Caenorhabditis elegans: one gene and its partner. The protein of the gene in region 2 purifies or fractionates together with the protein of the main gene of each other region. This does not show direct contact. Each region holds a gene or a part of one and is shown on either strand. Other genes may lie near its edges.

The links.
Region 1: the proteins of ZC513.3 (region 2) and herc-1 fractionate together in Caenorhabditis elegans (co-fractionation; one large-scale study listed by BioGRID). This does not show direct contact.

The regions. Positions count from the first base shown.
Region 1 is NC_003279.8:1,209,676-1,214,506, forward strand, and holds the start of herc-1 (HECT domain-containing protein), read left to right. Parts: upstream 1-1,809; 5' UTR 1,810-1,819; coding exon 1,820-1,913; intron 1,914-2,898; coding exon 2,899-3,098; intron 3,099-4,111; coding exon 4,112-4,304; intron 4,305-4,831. Other genes in the region: nsun-2 (tRNA (cytosine(34)-C(5))-methyltransferase), read left to right, coding at 1,187-1,330.
Region 2 is NC_003283.11:8,045,265-8,050,106, reverse strand, and holds ZC513.3 (Protein kinase domain-containing protein), read right to left. Parts: upstream 3,102-4,842; 5' UTR 3,064-3,101; coding exon 3,058-3,063; intron 3,007-3,057; coding exon 2,914-3,006; intron 2,867-2,913; coding exon 2,688-2,866; intron 2,640-2,687; coding exon 2,439-2,639; intron 2,393-2,438; coding exon 2,257-2,392; intron 2,199-2,256; coding exon 2,064-2,198; intron 2,017-2,063; coding exon 1,925-2,016; intron 1,870-1,924; coding exon 1,698-1,869; intron 1,656-1,697; coding exon 1,580-1,655; intron 1,533-1,579; coding exon 1,342-1,532; intron 1,298-1,341; coding exon 1,160-1,297; intron 1,114-1,159; coding exon 853-1,113; intron 807-852; coding exon 726-806; intron 678-725; coding exon 579-677; 3' UTR 512-578; downstream 1-511. Other genes in the region: col-43 (Nematode cuticle collagen N-terminal domain-containing protein), read left to right, coding at 56-282.

The DNA of each region.
Region 1 (4,831 bases), on a different chromosome or scaffold from region 2:
CGGCAAGCCGGCAAATTTCCAGAAATTAGAATTTTCGGCAAATCAACAAACTGACAAATTGCCAGAAATTAAAATCTCCGGCAAATCAGCAAATTGCCAGAAATTAAAATCTCCGGCAAATCGGCAAGTTGCCAGAAATTAAAATTTCCGGCAAACCGAAAAATTGCCAGAAATTAAAATTTCCGGCAAATCAGCAAATTGCCAGATAGTAGAATTTCCGGCAAATCAGCAAACCGGCAAATTGCCAGAAATTAGAATTTCCGGCAAATCGGCAAGCCGGCAAATTGCCAGAAATTAGAATTTCCGGCAAATCAGCAAACCGGCAAATTGCCAGAAATTAGAATTTCCGGCAAATCAGCAAACCGGCAAATTGCCAGAAATTAGAATTTTCGGCAAATCGGCAAGCCGGCAAATTGCCAGAAATTAGAATTTTCGGCAAATCAACAAACTGACAAATTGCCAGAAATTAAAATCTCCGGCAAATCAGCAAATTGCCAGAAATTAGAATTTTCGGCAAATCAGCAAACCGGCAAATTGCCAGAAATTAGAATTTCCGGCAAATCAGCAAACTGACAAATTGCCAGAAATTAAAATCTCCGGCAAATCGGCAAATTGCCAGAAATTAGAATTTTCGGCAAATCAGCAAACCGGCAAATTGCCAGAAATTAGAATTTTCGGCAAATCGGCAAGCCGGCAAATTTCCAGAAATTAGAATTTTCGGCAAATCGGCAAGCCGGCAAATTTCCAGAAATTAGAATTTTCGGCAAATCAACAAACTGACAAATTGCCAGAAATTAAAATCTCCGGCAAATTGGCAAATTGCCAGAAATTAAAATTTCCGGCAAATCGGCAAACCGCCAGATTGCCAGAAATCAAATTTTCTGCAAATTGCCAGAATTTTAATTTTCCGGCAAATCGGCAAATTGCGAGAAATTAGAATTTCCGGCAAATCAGCAAACTGGCAAATTGCCAGAAATTAGAATTTTCGGCAAATCAGCAAACCGGCGAATTGCCAGAAATTAGAATTTCCGGAAAATTGTTATTTTTAGAAAAATAGGATAATTTGAAAATTGAAGAAAAAAAACTAATAAAAAAGTTTAACTAAATTTTTTTGGAAGTTTTCACAAATTGTTAGTAATTTCATGAGAAATAAGTTAAATTTTTGTCCAAAAAATCAATTTTTCAGGCCGCCCAAGACCGTGAAGCCGCGTGGGCTCGCAAGGAAGAAGCCGCAAAGGCTGCGGAGCCGTCCAGCAGCTCAACTGATGCTCCAGAATCTGCTGAAACTCTGGAAATTCCAGAAGAAAATGTTCAAGAAATGACTGAATAATTTGTTTTTTTTTTGTTATCTCTTTTTTCTCCTTTAATTTATCTCCATTTATCCCCTACACAGTTATAAATTCTGCTACGTGGCCGTGTGGAAAAAACTCGGCCACCGATTTTTTTTTGTTCCCTCACGTGGTGCCAAAGTGTTTCATTTCTGTTTGATCTACAAAAAATGCGGGAATTTTTCCCCAAAAAACTGTGACGTCAGCACGTTTTTAATCGTGCAAAATCAGTTGAGAACTCTGCGTCTCAACTCCCGCATTTTTTGTAGATCTAGGTAGATCAAACCGAAATGAGACATTCTGTCACAACGTGTTCCCTTTATTGTTGTTGCAGTTGTTATTTGATTTTTTTTTTTGAAAAAATTTGAATTTTTTTTTCAGATTTTTTCCTCTGATACTGCTTCAAAAACTAAAGTTGTTGAGATCACACTATGATATTTTCTAGATTGTTTTTTTAAAATTTAATTGTTAAAAAAATCAGATTTCAGAAAATGCGAGCTGAGCTGCTCGGATGTGGACACACGGGCGAGGGACAGCTCGGCGTTCGGCTCTCCGAGTCGACGATTCAAGTTCCCGAGAGAATTAGTACGGAGCTATTTTTGTTGCAGAAATTAGAAAACAGAAAAAAAAATTAATTCCGAAATTAAATTTTAAAAATTAAAAAATTTCGGATGAAAAAAAAACAATTGGAAGATTTTTGTAAATCTTTCACAAAACTTTAAAAAAAACTTTTTTAAAGAAATAATGGCAAACCGACATTTTGCCGGAAATGGAAGATTCCGGCAAACCGGCAAAAAGCCAGAAATTAAAATTTTCTGCATATCGACAATTTGCCTAAAATGAAAATTTCCGGCAAATCGGCAATATGCCTAAAATGAAAATTTCCGGCAAATCGGCAATTTGCCTAAAATGAAAGGTTCCGGAAATCGGCAATTTTCCTAAAATGAAAGGTTCCGGCAAATCGGCAATTTTCCTAAAATGAAAGATTCCGGCAAATCGGCAAGTTGTCAAAAATGATAGATTCCGGCAAATCGGCAAAAAGCCAGAAATTAAAATTTTCTGCAAATCCACAATTTGCCTAAAATTAAAATTTCCGGAAATCGGCAATTTGCCGAAAATGAGAGATTCCGGCAAATCGGCAATTTGTCAAAAATGATAGATTCCGGCAAATCGGCAAAAAGCCAGAAATTAAAATTTCCGGCAAATCGGCAATTTGCCGAAAATGATAGATTCCGGCAAACCGGCAAAAAGCCAGAACTTAAAATTTCCGGAAATCGGCAATTTGCCGAAAATGAGAGATTCCGGCAAATCGGCAATTTTTCAAAAATGATAGATTCCGGCAAATCGGCAAAAAGCCAGAAATTAAAATTTCCGGCAAATCGGCAATTTGCCTAAAATGAAAATTTCCAGCAAATCGGCAATTTGCCTAACGAAAAAAAATTGATTACTTTGGAGCAAAATTGTATGCATCTTTAAAAAACTCTTTTTTTTTGAATATTTGTTTAAAAACTGTGTGAAAATAGTTTAAAATCGTCTCGGAATTTTCTCTGAAAATTGTTCAAAATTTCAGTTGGCGCTCCAAATGATATGGATGGAACCGCAGTGACGTCAGTCACGTGTGGTGAACAACATACAGTATTCCTGACAAAAGATGGCAAAATGTGGAGTGTTGGTAGTAATATGGATGGACAATTGGGACGAGGCAGTCGGACTGAGGGTTCTTTTTCGATTTATCCGGTTTCTTGGACAAGCAGTGCGAAAATTATTCAGGTAACTTTGAGTTTTTTTTTTGGCGAAAATCCATTAGAAAATGATTTTACCATATTTTTTCGCTAAATAACATTTGAAAAATAAAAAATTTTTCGTTTTTCCCTAGTTTTTGGCGAGAAAATCCCGTAGATCTCATTTTTGTAAACTCTTTTTCCGTGGAATCCCCTTTTCTTAGATTTCCATCTCGCAGATCCTCTTCCCATAGTTCCCATTTGCGTAAATTCTCTTCTCGTAGATCCCCGTTTCGTAGATCTCCGTCTTGTTGATCCCCTTCTCGTAGAATAGCAAATTTCTAGATCCTCTTCTCCCAGATACTCTTTTGGTAGATTCACTTCTCGTAAATCTCCTTCTCATAGAATTAATTTTGGTTCCCGTTTCGTAGATCTCTGTTTCGTGCAAGCTCCCTTCTCGAAGATTCCTTTGCCGTAGATCTTCTTTTCGTAGATCACCCTTCTCGCAGCTCTCTTTTTTGTAAATTCTCTTTTCATAGATCTGCCTTCCATAGACTTCCCTTCTCGGAGATCTCCTTTACGCAGAACGACGTTTTGTAGATCCTTTTCCATAGATTCTCCTCTCGTAGAATGGCTAATTCCTAGATCCTCTTCTCCCAGATCCCTTTTTTTGTAGATTCTCTTCTCGTAGATCTCCGTTTCGTAGATGCTCTTTTTTGTACATATATTTTCCATAGATCCCTTTTTGCCTTTAATGTAGATTTTTTCCATAATTACCCTCTCCGTAGATCTCCTTCTCGTAGATCCCATTTCCGTAGAATTCCCCCTTTCGTAGATCCCATTTTCAAAGATAGCCTTTCCGTATAATCTCCCTTTCGTAGATTCGATTTTCGAAAATAATAATCTCGCAGATCCCCTTCTCATAGATCCCCATCTGGTTGATCACCTTCTCGTAGATGCTTTTTTCATAAATTCCCTTACTTCAGATCCATTTTCCGTGGATCTCCTTTTCGCAGAGCCAATTTCCATAGATCGCCTTCTCGTAGAAATTCCATTTTTCAGATCTCTGCTGGCCGTTCTCACACAGTCTCCGTAACCGACGATGGGCGTGTCTTCGCTTGGGGCTCCAATGAGCACGGACAACTCGGAATGGAGAGTAAATTCACGTGGCAGGGAACACCACGACGTGTTCAAGAGATTAATGATATTGTACAAGTGGCGTCTGGATCCAATCATTGTATTGCGTTGGATGAAGGTAGAAATTTGGAAATTTGTGAAAAAATTCAAATTTTTGCTGGAAAAGTCCAAAAAGTATCTCAAAAACCTGAAAAATTGAAAAATTTAGTAAGGGGATATGGTCGGGGTACTGTAGTAGTACTGTAGGGGTACTGTAGGAGTACGGTAGGATTACTGTAGTTTAGGGAAATTTGACTTTTTCTCTTTTGAATGGATATTGGTTTGGGGTTAGTGGGGGGGATATGGTCGGGGTACTGTAGTAGTACTGTAGGGGTACTGTAGGAGTACTGTAGTAGTACTGTAGGATTACTGTAGTTTAGGAAAAATAAACTTTTCGTCTTTTGAAGGAATATTTGTTTTCGAATAATTTGCAAAAACGGAAAGCTGGATTTTTTTGAAAATAAAAAATAAAAATGTAATCCCGCTTCAACGCCAAAAGAAAAGTTGGGTCTCGTTAGGAATTGGCGGCGAAATTTTTTGCTAATTTTTGCTAATTTTGAAGCATTTTTTGTTGCTTTTAATAATTTTTGTACCAACGACGACCAA
Region 2 (4,842 bases):
AGTTTCCCGTTGACTCTTGTTCCAAACAATACCTTACAATTTTCTTTGTTTTCAGGACCAGCCGGACCACCAGGACCACCAGGAGCTCCAGGAAACGACGGACCACCAGGACCACCAGGACCAAAGGGATCTCCAGGACCAGACGGACCAGCAGGAGTCGATGGACAAGCTGGACCACCAGGACCACCAGGACAAGCCGGAACTCCAGGAGAGAAGGGAATCTGTCCAAAGTACTGCGCTCTCGATGGAGGAGTCTTCTTCGAGGACGGAACTCGCCGCTAAACGGTGTATTTTTCTCATTAATTGTGCAATCTTCTTTTATTTCTTTTGTATTTCAGATGGTTTGGTTATTGAAAATAAAATTGTGTTCTACAATTCATACTTATAAAACAATACAAATTAAACTTCACTTCGTTTTCAGAGTTTCTTGATAAATACATTTTAAATTTCGGAATACTTGCAATCGTTTATTCGAATCGAATTCTCAACTAATTTTTATACTAAGCACAATTATAATATTTTTTTATTGTCTTTCAAGAATGAATAAATAATACTGTAAAAAACATGAATTAACGAGTTTACAAAAAACTGATCATGGCAATTGCAGCGATGACCAATCCGAGTGTCAGAAGCAGAATAAGAACGAGGAGCAGCTTTTTGTGTGGAACCTCAACAGTCTGAAATTATTTTTATTTAATTTTTCAGACGGTAGGAATTTAAGATACCATTGGAAGTTTGTCACATCTTGGAACTGTTGCACTTCTCGACATACAATTCTTCGAAACCCACGAAGTTTTTTGTCTCAACTAAAATTTTGTGGGTTTTTTAAATCCATTAAATACCATAACTTACAATTCTTGAGACATTTGGAAATTTCTCAGATTTCTCCCTGATTGCAAACGTTCTCCATCCGGGAGTAAGCACAATTTTCGTATCATTCTTAGATGGAAGTGTCTTCTCCAAGAAAGTAATGCGTTGTTGAAACAAATATGAAGTTGCACTTTGAGCTACTGATGGGGCATCTGATTTTTCAGAGGACTGTCTCCGAACCAATTTGTTCAATTCCATTCCACGAAGTTTACAGTAAATTAGTGATGGATGCATTGTGGTGAGCTGGAAAAAACGTATAAAGTCAACATCTCTAAATTTATATTCCCACCTGTTTAAAAATTGGCACAGTGTCTTGCAACTCAAATCGTGAATCCGCTTTAAACAAAAGTTGCTTTCTTCTTGTCATTTCTCGCCACTTTCGTCTATTGAAATTCTTTTCCGCAGCTCGCTGAACACTGCATCGACTCTGAAATTAGTTTTATATTTTCCATCAAGACGAAACGAAATTACCGTGTCTCCCGTGAAAGTCATCTGATGCTCCATTACAGTGTCAGTAAGCTTCCAATCAAGTTCCCAATCCAATGGAGTATCAGTTCCAGCTGAGTTTGCACTGTCACTTGAGTATCCACTGACAGTGACAATAGAAGGAGGACGCTTCGGAGTTCGAGGAATCGTAAGTTGAAGCTGATTACCACTGTTGTCTGAAATATTTTTAAAATTAATCAACTTATACTCAAAAGCCACCAACAATTGACAACCGATATTGCTGGAAAATGAGCATATCGAGAAGTACGCACACGGATCAATGTTTTCAATTTGCAATGCTGTAAAATTAAACAATTAAGTTATTGAGGAGCTTTTTGAACCTTTTGTAGCACTTCATCTTCCTTGGCCATATTGATTCGAAACTTTTTGATAACTCGGCAGAAATGAACAGAAAATGCGAGATGGGGTGACAGAAAATTGAATTCGCTGAACAAATCTTGATCTCCACGTTTGCGGTAGGGCATTGATTGGTGGTGTTTCACAACATTCGTGCTGAAAATTATTAATTTTGCTACTCAGAATTTTAATTTTGAGCCCTCCAACATACTACAAGCGATTGCGGTTAAATTTGAGAAACATCGGATCCCGACAGCACAGCATCCGATCCTTCATCCAATCGTGATTGTGCCTCAAGAACTTCTGAAAATATAATGAATAAATAGCATAAAATTTGCAAATCGTCCAACCAGAATGCGGCCTTTTGTTTCCTTCGTATTTGTGCGAAGATTCTCTTTTAGGTTCTCAACCAACGTCTTTGTCATCTTATTTGCTTCTTCTTTATGGGATGTGATGAGTTGGCCAAAGTATGGCTGACCGTATTTCTAAGAAATTCACAAGTTTTTGAAGCAAAAACAACAATTTCAATGAAGAATTACTAACCAGAAACTTTGCTACCAACATTCTCGGTGACTCCAACATTCGTTTACCATAATTTGAATAATCAGGTCTCGATCTTCCTCGCAATCTGAGTTTTTCCCTTCTTCTTTTCACGTCGAAAACTGAGCACACTGCAGTTCTAAAATTTGGTTTCATTTATATTCAAACCTAATCATTAAAATTACCCAGCCAATTTCACTCGATCAGAAACTCTTTTCTTCGTCGGGATCATCATGAAGAAATGTGCAGCTCGTCGATAAATGTCATATTTTGTAAGATCATCCATAAAATTATATGTATTGTACAAATAATGAATTTGAGCTTTGTTTTCTGGAACGGGCGGTGCAAACAAGGTTGTTGAGTAACGATCAGGCATTCCGACTTTGCTAAAATAGAACGTTATGTGCCTATTAATTGACTTAGCAGAAGCTTACTGTGCCTGATTGTTCATGATTTCCGAGGGTAAATCAATTTTCAAAAATCCTTTATGTTGTCCGCCAAGCGTTCTCATCTCATATGCCGTCTTTTTATCAGCAGAAATTGTATTTTGCTTCTTAGAAATCATCAAGGTTTTGAACGTTTCACGATGTAGTCGATTCGGGACTCGGAGTTTCTGAACACGTATCTCATTTTCAACATCTATAGTTGTTTGAAACTTACTTTGAAGGCATTATCAGAAACCTTTTTAATTTTTGAATTTCCGCTCTTGGTAGAAGACTCTGTCGATTTTTTAGTTTTTTCTTGTTTTTTACTCTGTAAATAAATTAATTACTTGACCGGAAGAATTTACTCAAGGAACATTACCTTCATTTTGTTTGAATCGATGTAATTTTAATAGAATTGTGATAAAATGTGAAATAAATCGATATGTGATTGGATTATTTCGGGGATTATGTTTTAAAACGTGGAACACCACGTGGTGAAATCTTTTATAAAAACTTCTTAAACAAACTTAAGTTTACGTTTTTCAAGATTTCTGATAAAATGTTTTTAATTCATTTATAAACTATAGTATATTTTTAAACTATCTTGTAAGATGAATATTGTGAATTAAAATTGAAATATTATGTATGTTAAATATCTTTAAAAAGTGGTGGGTAGAAAAGGATAAGTACCGTCATAACTTTGGAAGTCGGTTTGGAAGAAAATAGATTTTTATTGGAATTCAATATACAAATAAAGATTTATTTGTATCTTCATCAAAACATCGTGAGGGATATAACATGCAACAATACTCTGCAATTCTTAAAACCCTTCATTTTTCAGTCAAAAAATTTGGCAATTCACTAAAATATTGACTGGACTCTCTTTAAATGCAAGTTTTTGATTAAAAATCAAAATATTTCAATTTTTTTGCTTCAAAGCTAGAGTACGACCTTAGTAAACCCGTTCAGAATATACCCAGATTTAAACCAAATTAAAACCGTACAAGCCTATATTGTGAATTTATCTGCACAAATTTGGTTTGGATCTACTCAAAATCGATTTGGATCTACACAAACCTACACAAATTCAGTTTACATCTACTCAAACGTGCAATCTATCCAAATTAAGTTTGGATCTAGACAATCTTGGTTCACATCTGCCCAAAATTAGAATTTTTCATAATATAGGCTTGTACGGTTTTAATTTGGTTTAAATCTGGGTATATTCTGAACGGGTTTACTGAGACAGAAAAATAAATTGAAAATCTTTTATATAAATCTAAATAAAAAATCCTTTATATAAATCTAAATAACTTTTCAAAAAAATTTGGAAAATGCTTTCTCTTTATTCAAAAAGCGGTCAAAATTGAGTCTGAATTACTTTTCGAAAATCTAAAGCACTGTCGCATGTTCAAACCCTAGACTATTGGATTTTGACCACATATACATAAATCTGGAAGACAAATAATAATCGACGACTTCCAAAAAATAGGTGAATTATTTAAAAATCATTCCTTCGAGTCAAGAAGCAGTTTTGCCCTGCTTTTTGACTCGAAGAAAAATTTTCTGAGATTTTTTAGAAACGTTTTACTATGATACTTTGTTATTTTAGCACCATATAAATGATTTTTAATCATTTCCCCGCCATTGGCCGTATTTATCTTCAAGTACAGCTATGAACTTTAGGCATTTTAATATTTTAGGGGTGATTGAGCTGTTGTAGTCAGAATTCACACTCGTTTCCTTTATGATCTCTCAGAAACCCCATTCAATTATAAAAACAATTTGCAATTGATGAGATTTTTATCCTTGGAGCATTTTTTGCACGTTTACCTGGAAAGGATTAAATCTTCCTTGATCTCAACTTCCAACTACACAAGATTCTCCTTCCCCGATTTTTTCTCTCTCATTTTCGTTTCTCTTTCCCATTGTTTTATGTTTATTTGAAAGTTAGAGCAAATCGAATCTATCAACAATCATTCGAGAATCTAAACATTTTCCAATTCACCCTTATTGAATTCCAATCCCCCGCAACTCTTTGCTCCCAGCGAAACTTTATCCAATAATAATAATAAACTAAACTAAATCAGCTCTTGCAACAGAATGGGCAATTTCGCAATAGGTAAATAGGTAAACGAATGGGATGGATAAAAGATGAGATAAT